Lytechinus pictus: one gene and its partners. The protein of the gene in region 1 interacts with the protein of each later gene in a biochemical or structural test. Links are inferred from orthologs where the notes say so. Each region holds a gene or a part of one and is shown in the gene's direction. Other genes may lie near its edges.

What was found.
Region 2: of the proteins of serine/threonine-protein kinase ATR-like (region 1) and serine/threonine-protein kinase Chk2-like, one has a biochemical effect on the other in vitro, tested with the Homo sapiens proteins (2 studies listed by BioGRID). The link is inferred for Lytechinus pictus from reciprocal best matches to the Homo sapiens genes ATR and CHEK2.
Region 3: of the proteins of serine/threonine-protein kinase ATR-like (region 1) and serine-protein kinase ATM-like, one has a biochemical effect on the other in vitro, tested with the Homo sapiens proteins (2 studies listed by BioGRID, with this or other methods). The link is inferred for Lytechinus pictus from reciprocal best matches to the Homo sapiens genes ATR and ATM.

The regions. Positions count from the first base shown.
Region 1 is NW_026974140.1:6,100,098-6,107,946, forward strand, and holds the start of serine/threonine-protein kinase ATR-like, read left to right. Parts: upstream 1-4,807; 5' UTR 4,808-4,893; intron 4,894-6,458; 5' UTR 6,459-6,473; coding exon 6,474-6,562; intron 6,563-7,849. UniProt on the Homo sapiens protein: Serine/threonine protein kinase which activates checkpoint signaling upon genotoxic stresses such as ionizing radiation (IR), ultraviolet light (UV), or DNA replication stalling, thereby acting as a DNA damage sensor.
Region 2 is NC_087246.1:31,249,679-31,256,784, reverse strand, and holds the start of serine/threonine-protein kinase Chk2-like, read left to right. Parts: upstream 1-4,082; 5' UTR 4,083-4,468; coding exon 4,469-4,676; intron 4,677-6,232; coding exon 6,233-6,363; intron 6,364-6,817; coding exon 6,818-6,896; intron 6,897-7,106. Other genes in the region: DNA-directed RNA polymerase III subunit RPC9-like, read right to left, coding at 1,096-1,103. UniProt on the Homo sapiens protein: Serine/threonine-protein kinase which is required for checkpoint-mediated cell cycle arrest, activation of DNA repair and apoptosis in response to the presence of DNA double-strand breaks.
Region 3 is NC_087248.1:3,339,710-3,346,884, reverse strand, and holds the start of serine-protein kinase ATM-like, read left to right. Parts: upstream 1-4,097; 5' UTR 4,098-4,158; intron 4,159-7,175.

The DNA.
Region 1 (7,849 bases):
GCTGAGAAATGAGCAAAATTCCATAAAATGTCGGGCATTTTTCCAAGTGATATTAGTACACTGTCTGACATTGTTATGCCTTTTTGTGTGTGTTATCAAGCAGAATTATCGGTTTTCAGCTAAGATTTCATGGTTTCACAAAGACGAGTTGATTTCATTATACTAGATCTATGATAATATGGGGGTTAGTAATAGTAACCTTTTATTTTAAAGGCTTTCTCTTGAAATAGTTTTTGCTGCAATTAGTTTCTTTTACTTTTAAAAAGAAGTTTTGTTTGAGCATGAAAATAGATGTTTTCTATTTTCTTATTTGGCCTTGATACATGTATATAGAAGATTAAACAAATGATTTTCAAGAATTTCAATTTAAACCACTGAATACATTTAGCAAACCTTGGGTTGTGGACTTATTAATATTGATATTAATTGAATTTCCCTTAGACAGCGCCTCATCAAACAAATGCAGTTGGGGTCAGGGAGAGTGGGAGAGACAAAGGGAGAGAGGGTAGAGAAAGAATGGGAGCTGGAGAGAGGGGGGATAGGAAAGGGAAGGAAAAGAAAAGGGATGGGGTAAACAATTCCTGTTTCACCTGCTTCGACAACCTGCTTCCTGTTTCGTTTTTATTTATTTGATTTGATTTATTGATTTCCATTTCACAATTGTACATAATATGATAAACATAACAAGGTCGAAAATACTACAAGACAATATAATAACATAATCATAGATTAAAGGAACACAATTCAGTAAATAAAGTTATCTCAGATGACATTTGTGTTTAAAAGTAAAACGGAGGGTCTTGCCAAAAAAAGCAAAGCTAGTACAAAAGGCAAGCCCCTAACTTAGTTTCATTACAAAATTACAATAAAGAAATATTGGGTCGTAATAATATACAGAAATTTTCTTTAAAAATAAATACAATTTTTGTGCACTTTACATAAACGCAACTGATGGATCGTGTGAGAAAATATATTGTTTTACAATACTAGAGAGGGGGGATGAGGGGGAGAAGACAGGAAAGACAGAGGAGTGCAGTGTACACTAAGTAGAAAGAAAGAAGGCAGGCAGCAGGAGCAGGTACTTTCACTAATTGCAATTTTAAGAAGAAAAAAAATAAAACAAATAATATACATGTCTATATGAGCGCATATAATACACAAAAGCCGAGTATAATTGAAATAGTTATTCAGCTTGACCTGTTTGCAACGAGTATTCCAGAATTAACTTTTTTTTCAGTTTGCATTTAAAAATATTTACATTAGGGGATTCTTTGAAATCTTGCGGCAGAGAGTTCCAATTAGGCAGGCCCGGAGAAGGGGAGAAGACAAATGAATTCTTTGCTAAAGGAAAGTGATAATATTGTCGTTGCCTTGTTGGGTAGCAGTGTACGGATGCATTTTCACGGAACATAGAGAAAATCGCGGGGAGATCGTCCTTGTTTCATTTGAACATAAATTGACTAAGTTCGAAAATATATATGTCACTTACTTTGAGAATGTTATTTTCAAAAAATAAGATATCAGTATGTGATTTAAAGTGTGTTTGAAAAATTATTCTTAGAGCTTTTTTCTGGAGAAGTAATATTCTATTTAGTTGTGTTTGTATTGCACATCCCCAGGCAATTATTCCATAATTAATATATGGTAGAATAAGGGTGTAGTATAATGTTAAGTGCGGGAAGGGAGAACATGTTTGAGTTTATCAATAATTCCAATGTTTCTAGAAATTGTTTTACCTATATACTATCAATATGAGGCTTCCATGATAATTTGTTGTCAATAAGGACACCCAAGAATCTGGTAGTGGAAATATTATTAAGAACGATATCAAAGAAAATACTGTCTGGTAGAGTATTGATTTTTATTGATTTTATTACTGAAAAGCATGCAGTTTGTCTTCTGGTGATTAAGTGAAAGTTTGTTGGCCTTGATCCAATCTGTAACATTTGTTAGTTCAAAATTTACGATTCTAACGAGTTGGTTAATATCATCATGGGAAAAGAAAATATTGGAGTCGTCAGCAAAAAGTATAAACCGTTTAAACAATCATGTTTAATTTATTGAAGATTAGATATTGAAAATTAAACTTTGTTGCTTAAGATTTAAACACTTGTTTAAACTGTTTAAACAATTACTGTAAGCTTCATATAGTAAACAGCGTTGTGCAATTTTTTTTTACTGTGTACGCCAGGATATTATTACCTTGGTTTTAGCCCCGCAGCCTTTTACAGCGCGATGGCATTTCAAGGAATAAATTTTTGCAAGGTACGTACCCATTTACATCACCTCGGTTGAGTGTAGCACAATGTGGATAAATTACTTGCCAAAGGAAATTACGCCATGGCTGGGATTCAAACGCACGACCCTCTGTTTCAAAGTCAGAATACGTTAATCCACATAAATATAGAGTGTATACAAGACATTTGTATTTACTGAATATAATACATTTGTACACTGTACATAAACAACACTGAAAAATGAGTGGATGCTTATGATGAAAGTCAAACATTGTAACCTGGCGCTTATAAACTATAATGTATGTATATATCATATGAAAGAAAAGTATAGTCTCTGTTTTCCATCGAGTTGCAAATTTTTGATTAATGATTATAATTCATAAAGTGTGATAATGCATATTTTTATACCTATTTGTGAACATTGAAGCGTAACTCACAATGCTTCAATGATCATGACCTATTTCTTATTTTTTCTGAGAGATGAGATGACATGCTTTCATTTCATATGAAATTCAAATCCTTTTCACCCGTTTTATTAATTTTGACAGGAAATGAAATATTAAAAATGAATCTGATTACACCCCTGTACAAAAGTCAATGGGACAACAGCAGACAGGGATCAATTCGTTTTATATCGTTTATGAAATCTGAAATATCGACTGGAATATTAAGAACTGTATATCAAATGGGATCAAATGAAAGCATATCATCTCATCTCTCGGAGGAAAAAAGGAAAAGGAAATATACCATGATCAATGAAGTGTTGCGTGCTATGCTTTAATAATCACAGCAAAGTCTAAAAATATACATTGTTGCATATTCATAATCATTCATGCATGACTGATCACTATTTTAAAGTAGTTGCAAAACAAAGGCCATACTTTCTTTTCCATTTTTATATTCATTTTGACAGGAAATGAAATTTGAAAAATTAATCTAATTACACCCATTTACAAAAGTCAATGAGGCAACAGCAGTTAGACATCAATTAATTAAATCGTTTACGAAATCTGTAAAACCGACTTAAATATAAAAAATTGTATACCAATTAAATGAAAGCATCTAATCTTTTGAAAAATAGGAAACTTCATAAAGCTTGCTCATACCCCAAGCATGCCCCAGCGACCATTTAAACTCAGGGGCCGCGGAACGGTTTTCAAAGTGGGGGGGGGGGGGGGCTGATGATGCAAAAAATACAATTGTGTGGTAATTTTTACGTTATTGTACACGTTTTTTTTTTTTAAGTGGGGGTTGAAGCCATCCAGCCCCCCCCCCCCCCCCCCCCCGTTTCTGCGTTCCCTGCGTTCTATTCAAAGTTCTCCTTCTCACCTACAAAACTCTCAATGGCCAATCCCCAAAATATCTTACAGATCTCATTTCCTTATACGCTCTAGTACCTCCTCAAGACCTCTCCGTTCATCGTCTACAATGCAGTTAACTCCTGGACCACGAACCTCTACAAAGTATGGTGACCGCGCTTTTTCTTCAATTGCCCCTTCCCTTTGGAATAAGCTCCAATTTTTTTAATGCCAAATCTGTGAATCAGTTTAAAACCCTACTCAAAACCTACCTGTTTAATAAATGATTCACAGTTGTGGGTCGGTCAATTGGAGGTGCACACCAGTTTTGATTTTTGATTATTAGTATAGTTGTATTAGCTGTGTCATTTTCCCCTGCCACATTTTTTTTTTATACCCAAGTACAAACCACAAACAGAACACAATGCACTTAGAAACACCAGTAGTAGGCGCCAAAATGTTGTGTATTATTATCATTATTATTCCGCGGCCCCTGAAACTAGCTAAAAAGAAGGGCGGGTGGGGGATCTTAGGTTCATTAGGTCTCAAAAATTAAAACTATGATCCAGAAAACTATAGTCTCGCATGAAACCTTTTCTATATGAAGCTGGATATTTTTTGTTTTGAAAATCGTTTTCAGATTAACTCAAAAGTGTAAACATTTTTTAGTGAAATTTTTCAGGAATTTATATTCTTGCAATGTGATATTGGAATTCATATTTTTCTTGAGACTAGCAGGGAACATAAAATTTGGTTCTTTAAAAAGAATATTGATTGTTATTAAAAATTCCTTTAGAATTCATTATCAAGCCAAATTGTGCACTATAACTTTTTTTCAGCTTATTTTAGAAATGTCCAAAGTTCGTAGACATTGATGGATCGGGGCGGGGGGGGGGGGGGCATTTCCGGCCCGCGTGCCCCCTGTGGTGCCCCCCTTGAGAGTTATAGTCATAATTTTTATAGTAAATATGTATTTTATACACAAGTGCGTCCCCCTCCCCCGCTTTTAGAGCCACATCCGAATATTTTTATTGGGAATTTGTCATTTTTTTAATTGGAATATTAAAACCTATTTATTTTTTTATTTATTTTATTTTGCTGTCAAATTATACGCGGGACAAATCGGTCTTCATTTTTTTAGAAAACTTTTTATTGGTCAAATTTTCCTTAGGGAAAATGTGCCCCCAACCTTTTGGGAAAATCTTGGATCTGCGCGCCCCCGACCGGTCTCGAGTTACATTTTTTTTTAATTTTTACTTTTGGACGTTTTAATTCGGCGACACTGTATTGTCGCAAGATTCAACGTAAAGAGCGGTAAAAATGCAAGAAGAAGTTTGGGATTTTCAGAGAGAAAAAGTGTAAGAATACGAAGTTTTACAAATCGCTTTGAATTGATGATAAAAGAGAAAATGATAGATAAGTAGATAGAATTTAGAAGAATAGGTGACACGGAGATTGGAAAATCTAATAATCTTATCCTAGTTTTGCGGTGCCTTTTTTGGTAGTCCCATCTTGTCAAATTCATGTCCAGTTTAACACAACAGAGAGAGAGAGAGAGAGAGCGCCCACGGGCACGGCCCACTCAGTCAAGGTTAGATTTACATGCCGCCGCATAGCTGTACTTATATTTTTCAACAAATTTGACCAGCAAGTCAATGATGTGAATGCCTACTTGCTCTTGTTATGAATCAATTTATACAAATAGATCTACAGGTCATACAGCACGGACATTTCTAAAAACGAAAAAAGTAAACTGGTTACTAATAGTCCTACAATTTTACAAACACTGACAAAACAAAAGAAAAAAGTCAAAATACAGACATCTTGATATTCTTTTTCCTTTTCCTACTCCTAGTCCTAGACCTCTATCTAACATGTCTAACGTTATAAACTAGGCTTATTGAAGAGTTGGGGATCACAGTTATCAGGGTAGGAAATACAATAATATAATTTCTTTCCCAACATTGTGGGGATTGCTAATTTAAACTTAAGTTAAAGCCTAAAGGAGCATTTTCTTTCATTTTAAGAGTTACATTTTTGTGCAACAAGTATTAGTAGTTATGCTGTGAAAGCATTTCTCATTACTCTGCTGTATGTAGAAAATCGGTTCTAAACTTCTTGAAAGTCCATCTTGAATGTTTGTGGTATATCTTTGATGGATATCTTTGAGGATGGTTGCCCCAAAGCCACTCACACGTATTGCGAGGTTAGGGAGGCAGTGTAGCTCAGTCGGTTAGAGCGCCTGTTCCGGAAAAGATCGTAGATCTCAACGTGCGTGGGTTCGAGTCCCGCAGCATGCCGGAAGACGTCTAACAAAAAAAACTGATGCTAGCGTTGTGTGTTAACGTGCCTCACCGCTGTGTTCAGTGCGGGTGTGAATGCAGTTGGAAAACACTCCGTCCATCGGAAAGGACGCAAATGTTGGTCCCGTGTATAGGAGAGTCACAACCTATGCACGTTAAAACCAATACACTATTCGTCAAAGAGTAGGGTGTTCACCCGGTGTATTGCACCTGCCGGTCCCCGGTACTACAATACTGCAAGAATCTTCAGGATTGAAGGAGGCAGTGTAGCTTGAAGAAGTGAAGAAGAAGTATTAGTATACTAACCTCGCACCACGAACCGCGTTTGGCAGTGGATTTCTAACTAGTGGGTCGCGCGTGCTGGGATCTCACTTCATGGGTCCACAACACACGACTTCTATGGCTTGATTTTTCTGTGCGTGGCGGCATGTAATGAACCCTTGGGTGCCCCAAAGCATTCAATTTGGGGGATTTTAGGGGCAACTTGGGATGTCATGAGGGCAAAATCTCACATCGCCCTCATGCATTTCCTACGCTGACAGGTACATGTATGGTTTCCATCATCAGGTATTTAAGATAAAAAAGAATTATTATTTTAAACTTTGTCCCTCTTGTTTCAGATAATGTGAAGAAAGATGGCTAGTTCTGTGCAACAGGATGGAGTGGCTCATCCTGTTCTAGAAGATTTGAAGAAAGAAATCAGCCAACTCGGTAGCATGCAAGTGTAAGTTTATGCTAACATTGATGTCACCAAGCACATTGTAATGATGGTAGGAATAGTCACACGAGGTTTTTCCACAAGTAGTTAGGGGAACAAAAACGAGTTAAGTTTTAGACATTATCAATATCAGGACATTTTCTTTGTGTGAAAATACATCCCTGTAGTGACAACACTGGTAAATGGGACTCAAAATCTCAGAGTCTACCATATTTTCCGGTGTATAAACAACACCTTTTTTCCCGCTTTTAATCTTGAAAAATTGGGTGCGGTTTATCCAAAGAAACAACAAAATTTCATAAGTAAAATGTTTCTTCGGTAGTTAGAGTTAGCAAGAAACCAAGAATTATATACAATATTTAATGTATAATTATTTGTTGGTTACTAAGATTGGAGAGTATATTTTGCGAAGTTTTCTTTGAAAAATCTTCTTTGTAAAGGTTGTTTTATATTATTTATTTAATTACTATCAATTTGATAATGTTTTCCTAAGAAAAACCTGATTGTTTTGTGATAAAAACTTTTTTTTCAGCTAAAAATGCATGGAAAATGCTCTTCAGTAGGCATGTAATCATAATCGATCGTAATCGTAATCGGTTATTTAAAAAGGCAATAAATAATGTCCTTCATTCTTTCTCTCAATATTTTAAAAAATATCCCTTTTTATACCATAATTTTGATATTAAAAAATGCCATTTTATGGTCTCCTTTTCCTTAAAAAAACCCTGGTTGTTTTGTAATGAAAACTTGTAATCGTAATCGGTTAGAAAGCAGGCAATAAATAATGTCCTCTATTCTTCATTTTTTCCCTCAGTTTCTCTCAACATTTTTTGTTCTTTTTCCCTTTTAATCTATAAGTTTGATATACAATACTGCTATTTCATGGTCTTTTTTTCTTTATTCTACAAAGAAATAATTTACATTCTTTGAAAAATAAAGTTAAAGAATGGAGTAACCATTTTTTAAAATACAAAAATTATTAAGATATCTTTTGATCTTTCATAGATTTATATTGAAATTGGCTAACCCAAAATAAAAAAATAAAAAATTTAAAAAATCGGCAAACCAAATTTGATATTATTTTGAAAATAATATCAAATTTGGTTTGCCGATTTTTAAAATTTGTTATTTTTTTAGTAATATCAAATTTGGTTTGCCGATTTTTTAAATTTGTTATTTTTTTAGTCTCTCGATTTTGGGGGTGCGGTTAATACACGGCTGCGGTTTATATTCCGAAAAGTATGGTAGTCATCAATTTCTCAACCTATCATAAGTATAATGTCTTGGACAACC
Region 2 (7,106 bases), on another chromosome or scaffold:
GCGAAAGTTTCAGGTTTTTTGGCGGTACACGCAGATGAATGGGATGGAATCCCTGGCTCCTTGGAGAGTAAGCATACGTTAGTAAATGATTTTAGCTCTCTACTCCTCTAGGACTTAGAGCCTCCTGGCTAATTACATGGACGAGTCCGGGTGTGTCACTGTGTTCCATAAAGCTGTTCATAAGTTAAGTTAAGACAATAAGAGCGACTTTAAAAGAACGACTGGTGATCCTTTCTTGTGGAAAATGGTATATTCATTGGTGATGGTTAAGCGCGTAAGAAAGGTTCACCAGTCATTCTTAAAGTCGCTCTTAACTTCCGAACAGCTTGATGAAACGGCCCCCAGGGCTCCGGCCCGTGAAGCGGGCCGTAGCTCCCCGGGACCGGGTTAACGTCACATCAGTCAGACTCACTGATCTGAGTCTGATACCCCTTTCATATTCATAAACCCATCCTCTAATTAGCCGCCTAAGCCTAAGGCTAAGAGTAATGCGGATAATTCAATAAAAATTGCGTTCACAAACTCCGAAAATAATCCGCACTATTTTTACGAGCGCCCGTCCTGAAAAAGGGGGATAATCGTCATGGCAACCGCACACACCCCCTCCGATGCAGTTGTGTTGGAAAAGGGTGACCTTGTGAGTTGTGACCGCACCATCATGCCATGGGCATGGCAATTATCCGTATAATCTATAACGCCAACGGTATGTCATGTAATTGTACTTTGGACATGCGTTCATAAAGTCAAAATCTGGTCCCGATGCCGCTATTATGCGGATAATTGCAGCATCAAAATGAAGCGGATAACTCTGGTCCTCCTCCGATTTTACAACCAAATTATGCTGCTATTAGCCGCATGATTGGGTTTATGAAAGGGGTAAGACAAGTGCAAGTGAGACTCACTCACTCACACTCACTCACAGACACAACCACGGCACCATGGCCACAGTCACACATGCACGTCACCGACGTCCGACTCTGCTTTTCCAAACACGCCAAATAAATTTGACTAAATAAGTAGAATAAAAATCACCTTTCGTGCATACAGCATAACAAAATGAGATGTTTGTTATCATATTCCCTAACAAATACTTACACTTCCATTGTCTTCTTCGGTCTTTCGGTCGCGTCTTCGGAAGGCTACAGCGAGCTTGTTATGTAGTCCCAATCATTTTCTTTTGTGCATTGTTATTCAAGTTTTCGGTATGGTATCTTTCAGTTATGACCGACATGAAAATTTGCCTCAGTTTTACATAGAATTCCAGTTTGATCCACTAATCTTTACACTATATAGACTAGATACAGATCAGTGGCTACTGGGTCATAGATGTTCATTATTATAATACGCAAGGATCTTCAGACTTCCACCTAACTAAAAAAAGCACTTCTTTAGCAAAGAACCAATTATCTGGAATAATTACAATTTTCTGTTAAACCTAGTCCATCATTTAATGTTTTTAAAAGGAGATATAAAACCCAACTTCTAAGCAAATATTCTAATAACGTATATTCAGGTGTTTTTTCTTCTTTCGTTTTTATAGTAATTATTGTTGATATACATCTATGTCTATATATTTTGTCATTGTGTCAAAATTTGTATTTCCCCCTTTTTATGCTCAATGTTTATATCTGGTATTCAGTATTAACATTTTTATTACATTACATATTCAGTTTCCAGTTTTGTAAAGGTGGCAGCACTAATAAGGCTTTGCCTTTCTAGTTGCCTCCCCATTCATTTATATATACTCTTTTTTTCAAATGTTTTCCAGATTTGTATCATTGAATTATTTCATTGACATAAATTGTAATATATGTTAACTTTGCATGTACCTTGTTTTGTTCTGGTTTTTATGATGAATGGAATAAATGCTATCAAATAAAAATATGTATATAATAAAAGGGGTGGTCTGTATTATCCCGCGATAATTTACAGAATAATATCATACTGATTATATGGCAAGTATGATTATGATGATAAGGAGGAAGTTGAAGATGATCGATGATCATAATATGTTTTTTTTCAAGAGGAGTGCTTTTTGGGGGCTAGATATGGCACATATTGGGTAAAATTTATAAAAGTTGCAAGAGAGCTAGGCGAGCGAGCAAAAATTTCAATAGTTTTATAACAAAAATCTAATTTTGTTATAGATTTTGACATAATATTCAGAAAATGATATTATATTAAAGATTCAAGGATACATGTATTATTTCGTTTTTGAATGAAGTATTTTTCCGGCATAAAACATATCATAAAGTGGGGGGGGGGGGTGGGGGCTTCCCCTGTCTCCTCTGGGATTTCCGCCCATGATGGTAGTGATATGAAAATGCATGATAACCATCAGTTTTTCTTTCTTATTTTCCATCAAAATTTGTTTAGTTTTCTATTTTTCCAAAACAATTTTCCCCATTGTGCTGCACTCAACCCAGGTGAGGTGAATGGGTATCCGGTATATAGGATTAATTTCTTGAATGCAATTAGCGCTGAAAGGCAGCTCGAGCTAAAATAAAGTGGGGGTAATAATAATATTAAACAATGCGGCTCGGAATAGATTATTTCTAGATTGATGGCGTATATAAATGCCTAATATTATTATTATTAAAAATTTCATCTCGTGCTTCACGCTCGTATTACTGATTAAATAGTTCTTATGAATTACCTATTCTTCTTGTGAAAATAAAGATATAGCTTGTACTTATAAGACTTCAGTCTCAAGGACTACCCTACCCAACTGATGTAAGGAGGGGGGGCTTAAGGGACCATGGAACCTCCCCCACAAGTTTCACAGCCAAGAAAAAAAAAAGGAAAGGGGGTGGAATATAATAATATTTTTTAGCATTATGTCGAAATCCATCACAAAATTAGATATTTGTGTAAAAAAGTTCTAAAATTTTGCTCACTTGCTGCTTTTTTAGAAATTTATTTTGCTCCACATGCCATTTATGGACCCTCAAATTTGTTTGGCTCATATGCCATTGACCCCCAACACCCCAACGCCCCTTCTAAAAAAAAGTCCCTGAGAACCTACACTCATAGACCTTTACATATAGGCATATAAGTGTAGGCTACCATGAAGGCCTTATTATACATGTTTTTCCATATCCTTCATGGTTTTAGTGTTAGGTTTCATGACGCATGCATGTGGATCCGTACAGCAGAGGGAACACGGGGGGGGGGGACTGGGGCAGAGATAAAAATTGCAGGGCCGTAGAGGTTAAAAAATGTACAAAAATATTATTAAAAAGGAAAAGGCAGAGGTTAAATATATTTTTGTATATACAAAATGTTTCCCAATGTCTTTGTTGTAGGTGAAAGCTACAGCAGAGGGGGGGGGGGGGGGGGGGTTGTCGTTTATGAAATGACCATCGGAATACGACAAAGTAGGCCTATGCTTTCCTACAGAAAGGAACTGCATGTGCTTCTCCGCCAATCAGAATGAAATAAAGTTGTCAGACCAAAAATGTGGGTGGAAACGTCTCCCGCAGCCGCGCCCCGAAGTTCGTAAACTCTCTTGCCCCTGGGCCACCTTTCTGAAATCTTAGGGAAGCAGTATATTTCTGAACACTGTCTTAGCTCCTTTATTTTTCTAACATCCAGAGACAGGGGCGGATCCAGGATTTTCCAAAGGGGGGGGGGCAAATTTTTCGAAGGAAAATTTTGACAAGCCCCCCCCCCCCAAAAAAAAAATAAAGGTTTTCAACCACAAATTAAGGATGTTTAGAACCCGAAAAATTTTGACAAGCAAAAAAAAAAAAAAGGTCTTCTATTTCAAAAGAGGGGGCATTTTTACATTACAAATTCTAATTTTGCTTCTCAAAAAGGGGGGGGGGGTGGGCATAGGGGGCACGTGCCCCTGGATCTGCGTCTGCTCAGAGATATGACAAAATCGAATCGATATTCTGGGAAATGCCATGACTTTTATCTTTTCTCTGGACGTACCGCCTGTCAATGAGGCCCCCGGGGTCAATGATCATGATCAATAATTGGGAATCCCCTAGCTGATCGAAATCCTGGATCCGCATATCATCCGGATACATATACCCTAAGGTCGTTGACCGCAAACGCGCGATCGCCACGTGGTTTGTCAGCTGATTAGAACTAGGCCTGCGATACGGTGTGTTTTGGATTTTTACCCCAAAGAACTGACAATTACTTGGATTTTGCTTGCAGAATTCAAAATCAAACGAAAGAAGTTGTTTTGAAGTTCATTGAATTTGCAGAAACTATTGGATTGTTGATGTCATCTTCTTACCCAATGAGCTAATTCAAAGATGGACTCAACAAGGAAATAGTCCAGTGGCAGTGTTCCTGAATCTCGCGCCGCAGTATTTCGTGCCGCCGGATTGGATACCTACGTCACGGTACATCTGCCGGGTCAGAGTGGCGGAGGTTAGCCTCGAGTTTCCGCTGAGCACTTACGTAGCGCACTCGGCCCGGCGTTCCCGTGTTTACTACTGCATGTGTGTGCGACATGAGCTTGAACGGCTCGAGCTCGAGTTCCGTAGAGCCCAACACCACATCGAGCAGTGCGAGTGCAAGTCTGTCATCCGGGGGAACTTTGTCGAGTATGGAGACTATTCCAACGCAGGAGGTTGCTGAAGGAGATTTTGATTTTGTGGAGGAGAAGGTGGTTGTTTGGGGTCGTCTGTATCCTATTGGAAAATGTTTTAAGAGTGTTGGTAGGTCTGACTTCTAGTTCTAATACTAATATAAACCCTCTAATCCTAAATATTAGAATTTACTTGTATTGCCAATGAATAAAGGCAATATACATGTAGTACTAGTAATAATTTAATACTAGTTGTGCAGGTCATTGTCACTAGCCCCTACAAATACAATACCATACTTTCATCGTAAGTTAGGCTATAAAATCAAGAGATCAGTCACTAAACTAAGTTCTAAACACTTACAAACAGTGTCAGCAAAAATCTGTACTTGCCCTATTGCCCGGGGCAAGTAAAAGTTAGAGTCGGGCAAGTGTTTTGAAGTTAAGACCAAAACTACTTGCCCAAACTGGGAAAGCCAATTTCTCACAGTGGAAAATTAGGGTCCACATTTTTTATATGATATCGACCCTAATTTTGGTCACATGTAGCAGGTAAGATAAAATCACTTTGGAAAGGTCTACATCAGTTAGAAGTTCAATGGTTTATAAATCCACAATGCTTTCATTTGAAGAGGTAAAACTTTTTTTCAAGGATTTTTTGGGGCAAGTGAAATACATTTTTGGGCAAGTATATTCCAACTATTTAAAAATTTACTTGCCCGACTGGGAAAGTGCTTCTAAAAAGTTATGTAGCACCCTGAAGTGGTAGTTTAAATACTTTAAAGATTTTTATATTTGTTGAAAAATGAATGAAATAGGCAGAGCCGAGTCACCTCAGGCTCAGCTTTTCGCTGTGTTGTACACATCTGAATGATCTGATCCAAACTCGATTTGAAACAGTTGGCTTAACTCTAACAAATTGTTCACACATGCATCTACTGTGCTAGGTGCTGATGGACAAATCGAAAACATCAATTTTTACTTATTCTAAGTAATGGCTAATGAACATTTGAAATTCAATAGTATTTTCAGTTGAAGCTTTTTTTAAGAAGCAAGGTTTTCAATCCTTTTTAAACGCTTTGTTGATGATCAACAAATGATTCTGATATGATTAGACTTTCATAGAATAAATAGAATAATTAGAAACCAGAATAGTTATAACTGAATATTCAGTATTATAGTATATTAGACAAATTTCAATATTTTTTTTCAGTAGGCATGAATCCTTGAAAATTGCAATTTATTGAATTTGTATTGGCCACATCATGGCCTCCCCCCCCCCAAAAAAAAAAGTCACAACTCTTATTCTTTGTGGATTTTAGTCGCATGTTTACTAATATTTATCTGCTTATTGAAAAAAAAACTCACCAGGGTGAACTTCCCCATATTTAAGTTCTATTTTATAGTATGATCTGTATGACTCTCAAGTGGTAATTAAGCTATCCACAACAGATGTGATTAAGAAAAGTTTTATGAGTTGTAGGTGGAGGTGTATTATTATTTATTGGTGATAGGTGTTGAGTTGCTATCATTTCTATCAGCATCAAACGCGCCTTCATCTTTTGTACATAATATTTACTGAATATCCAGGCCATGGTACAGTAAAAGGACAATAAATTGAATCTGCAAGACTGCAACCATATTTCATTTTGTTCATTTTATTCTCTCTTTTTTAAATGAAAATTGTAGATTTCTTAGATCCAAAGGAAGAATACCTCTTTGGAAGGGATCCTTCTTGTGACATCTGTTACAACAGCCCCGAGATAAGCAGAAATCCCTGCTACCAGACACTTAGCAAAACACATTTCAGGATATTTAAGGTGAGGAAATACAATGTAGGTGACCACCCTCAATGCCTGTCATCTACTGGAGTTACAAGATGTAGGCAGTAGGCTTATACCTAAAAAAAATCATTCTTCATTGTTATGATTGGGTAATGTCATGGGAATGGGATTTATCAACTAAACTTGTAAATGCTCAATGTCATGGTGCTCTTCCATTTTAGTATGGACTAAGTAACACATAATTAATTTATGAAAATATTTCTTCTCAGCTAAATGTCCACAATGTTTTTAGAAGGTATTTTCATTCAACATGAAATAAACTGACTATCAATTGTTATTATAGATTCAGTCATTCAGATACCATCACACAGGATGTTAAAAGTTCATTTGAAAAAAAAAAGTTTCAGTTTAAAATTGTAAAACAAAACATTTTCATTATGGCAGTCCTGATATCAAAAGTTGCATTAATAATTCTTCTTGTGTTTTCCAGGAATCAAACGATAATTGCAGTTTCTACTTTATTGAAGATAGGAGCTCAAATGGCACCTTTGTGAATGGAGAAAAGATTGGTAAGAAGCTAAAGTAAGGTCTTTGATGTAGATCTCTTTATAGGGAAAATAACAACATTGAAATAACAAAAACAATGACTTATTATCAAAGTTTAGGGATCAATGGTGAAATCAGAATCTCATGTATATTTTGTATTCTTTTCCCTCTTGTATTTCCCTTCCCCCTTTATCTTCAAGTCAGTGCAATTTTTTTTCTCATGATATTTCACA
Region 3 (7,175 bases), on another chromosome or scaffold:
TATTATTCATTATAATGTTATATTATCTTATAATTATGTTATGTTATTTTACATTAAAATTTAAAAAAATCCTAACTTTATGAAACATAATTTGCTCAGGGCTTATGTATTCATTGTTCCTGATGCTCGCGTTGTCTGTTTAACGAGATATATAATCCCGTTATACTAAAACCTCCCGTTTTCAAGTCAGTATACACCAAATAATATTTGTATTGTTTTATGTAGTGACAAATATGCTTCTTTTTCATGACTACTTAAAGTGATTGCCCCATTTTAAGGTCTAACTATAAAACATTTCCTGTCCGTGTTTGCGTTCGCATTAGTAGATTAGTGAGATATGTCTGCTCTTCATGAATTCCTAAAATCAGTCCTTAAAATGTCCCTTTTTCTGATCTGAATATCAAAAATTTTCAGCTATCGCTTGCATATTTTGGTAAGTGAAATACGCATGGTCTTGAATTCCTACAAACAAGCCTTAAAATGCTCCTCTTCAGGTCTGAATTTCCTAAATTTTCAGCTCGCGCTTTACGCTCGCAATATATGACAAGTGAGATGCGTATAATAATCATGATTACAATGACTACAAAAAGTGTTTCTCATGTGTTTAGATGTAATTCTAAGAAATCAGCATGCGCTTGGCATTCGCATTAGATGACTATGGTGAGATAAGTGTTCTCTTCATGGATTCCTTTAAAAAATAGTCCTTAAAATATCGCTGTTTGGGGTCAATATATACAAAAAAAAATTAAGCTCGCACTTCGCGCTCTTATCATTTGGTTAGTGAAATACGCATAGTATTCGTGAATTCCTACTAACAAGCCTTTAAAATGTCCCTCTTCAGGTCTGAATTTCCTAGATTTTCAGCTCGCCCTTCGCGCTCGCAATATTTGGTCAGTAAGATGCGTATGTTAATCATGATTACAATGCCTACAAGTGCTTCATGTGTTTAGATGTATAAAATTCTAACAAAATCAGATAAAATGGCACTCGTATTAGATGACTATGGTCAGATATGTATACTCTTAATGGATTCTTAAAATATAGTCCTTAAAATGTCCCTCTTTGGGGTCAATATATACAAAACTTTCAGCCCTCACTTCGCGCTCGCATTGTTTGTTTAGCGAGACAGGTATACGTATCATGATTACAAAAATGTATTTATAATGTCCCTTTAAAGGTCTGAATATAAAAAAATTTCAGCTCGCGCTTCGCGCTCGCATTATGTGATCAGTGAAATATATATCCATTTAATGGCACTGTCTTTAGAATTTCTCTATTAGGTCAGTATACCTGACAACTGAGCGCGCTTCGCGCACTCAATAAGTGACTAAAAACATTTTTGGTACCCCCCATGCCGTGACCCACGGTACGCCACTGTTTCATACGTTCTCCATCGAGCATCCGTCCACTGTGATTTCATTGTCCATTGTCTGGAGCGGATGTAAACGGATGGAGCCACCTCGAAATTGGCTTGTCCGCTGTATCCGTTAGCCTATGGATACGTTTTGTGTCCGTCGGCAAGTGGGACCAGACCTTTAGATGACTATGTAAGCTAGCTCTTCATTCATTTCTAAAGAATAGTCCTTAAAAGGTCCTTGTTTGGGGTCAATATATGTAAAATTTCAGCTCGCGCTTCGCACTCACATTGTTTATTTAGTGAGACAGATATACATATGATTACATAAATCGGCTATTATAATGTCCCTTTCTTAGGTCCGAATATATAAAAAAAAAATCAGCTCGCGCTTCGCTCGCCTCAGTGAGATACAAATCATTTTAATTGCACAGTCCTTAAAACGTCTCTATGAGGTCATATAGCTGGCTGTTGAACGCGCTCAGCGCGCCCACTAAGTGCCCAAAAAATCCAGGGGGCTGTTTCATAAAGCTGTTCGTAAGTTAAGAGTGACCGTAAGAACGACTGGTGAACCTTTCTTACGTGCTAAACCATCGCCAATGAATATGCAATTTGCCACTAGAAAGGATCACCAATCGTTCTTAAAGTCGCTCTTAACTTACGAACAGCTTTATGAAACACCCACCAGGTCCCCCATAGGCCCCATGCCGTGACCCAATGTTATGAAACAGGGCACTAGACAATATAATTATCCATTAACGTATGAGCCTGGAACGGAAATCTGAGGGAGAGGGGGCAAATCTTTTCCCCAGGACACCATTGAAGGTCAAGTCCACCCAATAAAACTGTTGATTAGAAATGATAGAGAAAAGTTAAACAAGCATAATGCTTAAAATTTCATCAAAATCGGATCTAAAATAAGAAAGTTATTATATTTTTAAGTTTCGCTTATTTTTCATAAAATAGTTATATGCACAACTCAGTGATATGCACATGAGAGAGTTGGTGATGTCCCTCACTCACTATTTCTTTTGTTTTTATTGTTTGAAATACAATATTTCAATTTTTACAGATTTGTCAACAATTAAGGACCAACCTGACTTAATCATAAACTGTTGAAATAATTGTCATCACACATGGTCAGGGAGGAATAAGATTTGTTTCACATGCAATGAGGAGAAAATAAGAATTTTTATATTTCATGTGATAAAATACAAAAGAGGTAGTGAGTGGGTGACATCATCGGTCTGCTCATTAGCATACCGACCATGATGTGCATATAATTGTTTTGCGAAATTAAGAGAAATTTTAATATGTCATATTCTTATCTTACATCCGATTTTGATTTTTTTTTAATCGATGTTATAAGCTTGTATGATATTTCTCCTTTTATTCAAGTCACCTTTTTATTGGGGTGGACTTGTCTTTAAGCAAAAATATCACCACCTGCACAAACAACAAAGTGCTATAAAACGCCAACTTTGAGAATAAAAAAAAAATGTATCAATAGAGATCCACTCTCCTTCGCATATTGACTAAGATGAACATCTTTCTGTTATGAATATCATAATGAAGTGGAATGGATTGGTTAGCGAGAGAACAATTAAGCAAAGGAATTATTTTGTTTTTTATCAAACTATTTTATACAACATTCTCTCTTTTCATTATCTTCCTCTTCTTTCTCATTTTATACCTTCTCGTTTTCTTGCCCCTCTCTTCTTTCGCTTTTTTTTCTCCCGTGTCATTTGGAATTGGAGTTCCATACCTCTTCCTTTTCTTTTTTTCTTTCACTTCCTTTCCTCTTCTTTCTTTCTATTTTCCTCTCCTTTTCTTTCCTTTCCTCCCTTTTTGTCTTCCTCTCCCTTTTATCCTTTCCATTTTCCTATTCATTCTTCTCCCCTTTAATTTCCCATTCCGTTTCCTCTTTTTCTTTCTTTCTTTCTTTCTTTCTTTCTTTCTTTCTTTCTTTCTTTCTTTCTTTCTTTCTTTCTTTCTTTCTTTCTTTCTTTCTTTCTTTCTTTCTTTCTTTCTTTCTTTCTTTCTTTCTTTCTTTCTTTCTTTCTTTCTTTCTTTCTTTCTTTCTTTCTTTCTTTCTTTCTTTCTTTCTTTCTTTCTTTCTTTGCTTCCTTCCTTCCTTCCTTCCTTCCTACCTTCCTTCCTTCCTTCCTTCCTTCCTACCTTCCTACCTTCCTTCCTTCCTTCCTTTCTTTCTTTCTTTGCTTCCTCTTTTTCATTTCCTTCACTAACTTTCGGTGGTCTTGTAGATTTCCCCGCTGAAATATTTTTGGGCCGGGGGTTGAGGGACCCGCCCCTGCCCAAATGTTTGGCACAGATGGTGTTTGAAAATATATGACAATATATTGGGCATGATGGTAGATGAAATATTATTATAGAATAACTTGATGTAAAATTTTAATGTTCAGTACGAAGAAAAAATGGAAATATAGATGATCAATAGAGGAATGAATACAATTTTTTTTTATTCACGATAAATCATGATTTTCCTCACCCGTAGCCATGGGGTGGCAATAATGATTAATATCGATAATTTCATTAAAGCAAGAAACAAAAATAAAGATGATCACATTCACATATGCATTAATATAAAGCACATGTATGTTCATTTTATAATGAATATGTCAATGGCGTAATACGCCCGCGCAGTGGGTTAATTTTATTATTAAAATTATTATTACTTTTCATTTTTTTTTTCCAATTCTATTTGTGTGGTTAACTTCTCCTTCGTTGCGCATGTTCGACGAAATTTAAAGTCGAAGTCTGAGTCTGACTGAAAGTCAAAGTTCGTAAGTGGGGTTAAATTTTATATTGTGCAAGAACATTTTGTTATATTTAACTTTTGCAGTCATATATATTAACGATGGTCTAATCTTCCAGCTTGAGTACACTACCGCTATTATTACCACTCTGTTTCTCATCGTTCTGGCCGGGCGTTTTGGGCTTCTGTCTGGCCACGGCTACGGCTGCCTCGGTAACCCAGGCCGCTCCGGCCCGCGAAGCGGGGCGGAGCCCGAGATCAGGGGCCTGTTGCATGAAAGGGTCTTTCGTAGAACCATTCTACGTAAGAACGAGATATCGCTCAACTGTTTCACAAAGCCGATTTGGGCGATACGAAGAATGGTCCTTGGAAAGACACCTCCAGACATGTCCTACGTAGGCATGATCTTCTTTGCACACCGCCCGCCACCGTCGGCATTGAGAGAAAATGCATTTACGCCAAAATTACGGCAAGCCACACTGACATATCACCTCTAAACATTTTTTTTGGTTGCACTCTGATGCATTTTATCTGGGATGGTGCCAAGTTATGTTTTATATGGGGGCTATAGTTGTCATCAATTTCAGGTCGTCTTTTTGCACGGCAGGACGACCAAAAACGGATGTCATTTTAACTTCTCCGGCCGGGGTATGGTAGGGGGTCCTAAAGCTGCGCGGGTCCTAAAGCTACGCAGCACTCATCGCGCATGCAGTTTTTATGGCAAATGCCCGGCGGCGCGGGGCAAATGCGCACTCTGTGTGTGGAACTGTGACTGCAGAGTGACGAACGATTCCTATTCAATTTTTTCTTCAGAGGCTGCACTGCAGTAAAATCTCTAAATGCAGAGAAACCAACAACTGTTTGGAATTTTGGAGTTATATTCGCTTAAATTTCATTTTATCCTATAATAATATGAATGTATTTTAGAAATTGAGGCACAAGAAATACTATTTTTTTGCATGATAAATCGAGTGCGTAGCTTTAGGACCCCTTCTACATCGGGTGGCGAAATCAAGAGGTGTTCGGAAAACTCGGCGGGATTTTCGTATTAGTGAGTTTTGCGATATTTTCTTCTTGGTTAATGATCTTTAGAATGTTTGCCACAAATTAGTGAAAGATATTTGTTGAAATACTAAAATTGGGGTAGTTTTTATTGTTTGAAAACAAAGTGCGTAGCTTTAGGTCCCCCCATCATACATGTATTATTCCCGGGGGTAATGTATAGGGCCAAATATTTTTAAAAATAATATGTTTTCTTCTATTCTCCCTCCGTCTTATCCCCACCCCTTTTCTATTAAAAAAATAAACTTGAAATACTTGAAATGGGCGGCACTATATCTCTTTAGCCGACCCCAGTCATGCTTTCTCATTAAAGATAAACAACAAATTTCTTTAAAAGAAATTATGTAAGGTAAAAAACGTGTTCAATAACATTCAGCAAAAAAAAACCAAGACAAACAAAACTAAGATGTTAAACATGCTAAATCATTTATTTATTTTATTTTATTTTCATTATAATTATTTTTTTTTGCTGAGATTTATTTTAATCAATGAAAATTAATTGTTGGATTTGAAACAGTGAAACAAAACAAAAAACCTGCAGCTAATATTGAATTTAAGATACAGATTAAGCCTATAGCTTACGAATCCATCACAATCATTACAAATGAAGATAAGTTCATTAAAGAAAAGATTATGGAAAGTCCATACGAAGAGGCGCATTTTAAATCTTTTATGTTATTTCTTAAACCTTCCATAAATTAAGTGATCATCTTTAAATATGACCAGCGTTTATGATCGTTGTCATATTTAGCATTATTTCTGTAAAAGTATTTGTCCATTGCGGATTGATTCACACCTTTTTCTATGTTTTAATTATTATTGCAAAGTACTACTTTATCCACTTGGACATGTTTGCAGCAATTTTCATATTTTCATTTTCTTCTGTTACTCATCATGCAACTGAGGTATGTTTATACTCTAAATACTCACATTTGTATTTCTTGCGTTATATCTGACAAATAAAATAAATAAATTAGATTTTTCACACGCAGCCTCTCATATTTTCCTTTTTAGTCTCATACAATCAGACACTGTTGATTTTGTTTACTCCATTCAAACCCTATATTTACCTCAACAAATAACATATTAACGCATAATTTGCAAAATTATCATTATATACAAGTATTCTATAAAAATACAGAATATTGAACTCATAAATGTCGAAATTACTTAGTTAAATCAATTTTTATGTCGGACAAGGCCCAAGGGTCTCTTTCGTTGAAATATCAATAAAAGGTGTCTCTAAAAAGACACCGTGTTCTAAATAAGGGAAATAATGAAAATTTCGATTTTATTTAGTTATGTTTGTGAATCTTTAAAGTTTTTTCTCTTTTAACCTCATAAAGTAAGCTCCATACATCAATTCTACTATCAGTAATAAATAAAACATTATTTGATCTCCTTTTATTGAAATATCGGATTTTATGTAAAGTCGTCATTCAGAAATAAAAGGTTCAGGTGACGATGAAGACTAAATATTTTCCCGATACTATCGATATCAAACGATGTCGCGGACTTGGAAGACAAAATTGCCTTCGTGAAACGGAAAGCGCTGATTTGTCGCCAATCTTCCTATCTCGGAAGAATGGTCCTAGGACGTTCCTACGTATCGCTCATCTCGTCATGCAACAGGCCCCTGGACTCGTCCGTGTAATTAGGCAGCGCGTACTCTCCAAAATGGGGTAGAATGGGGTCGTAATAGCACCCCAAATAAAAAATGAAAAAACAAATTATGCACTTACTTCGATTGTATGTATTTGACTTTGGCAACATTTGAGAGGTATTTTACAGTGTGAGTGTCATTATAAAAATAATTAATGATGATGACAAGCAAGCAAGTCCAGTTTTTTGAGAAGTTCGTTATTTCTGTCTTTTTTCTGGACCGGCACCTTCACTGTCATTGTCAAGGAGCTAAAGTAAAGGGCCTGGATTTGGTCAAGAATTGCAGGGCTAACTGTTGGAGAGAGTATTTTGTAAATTATC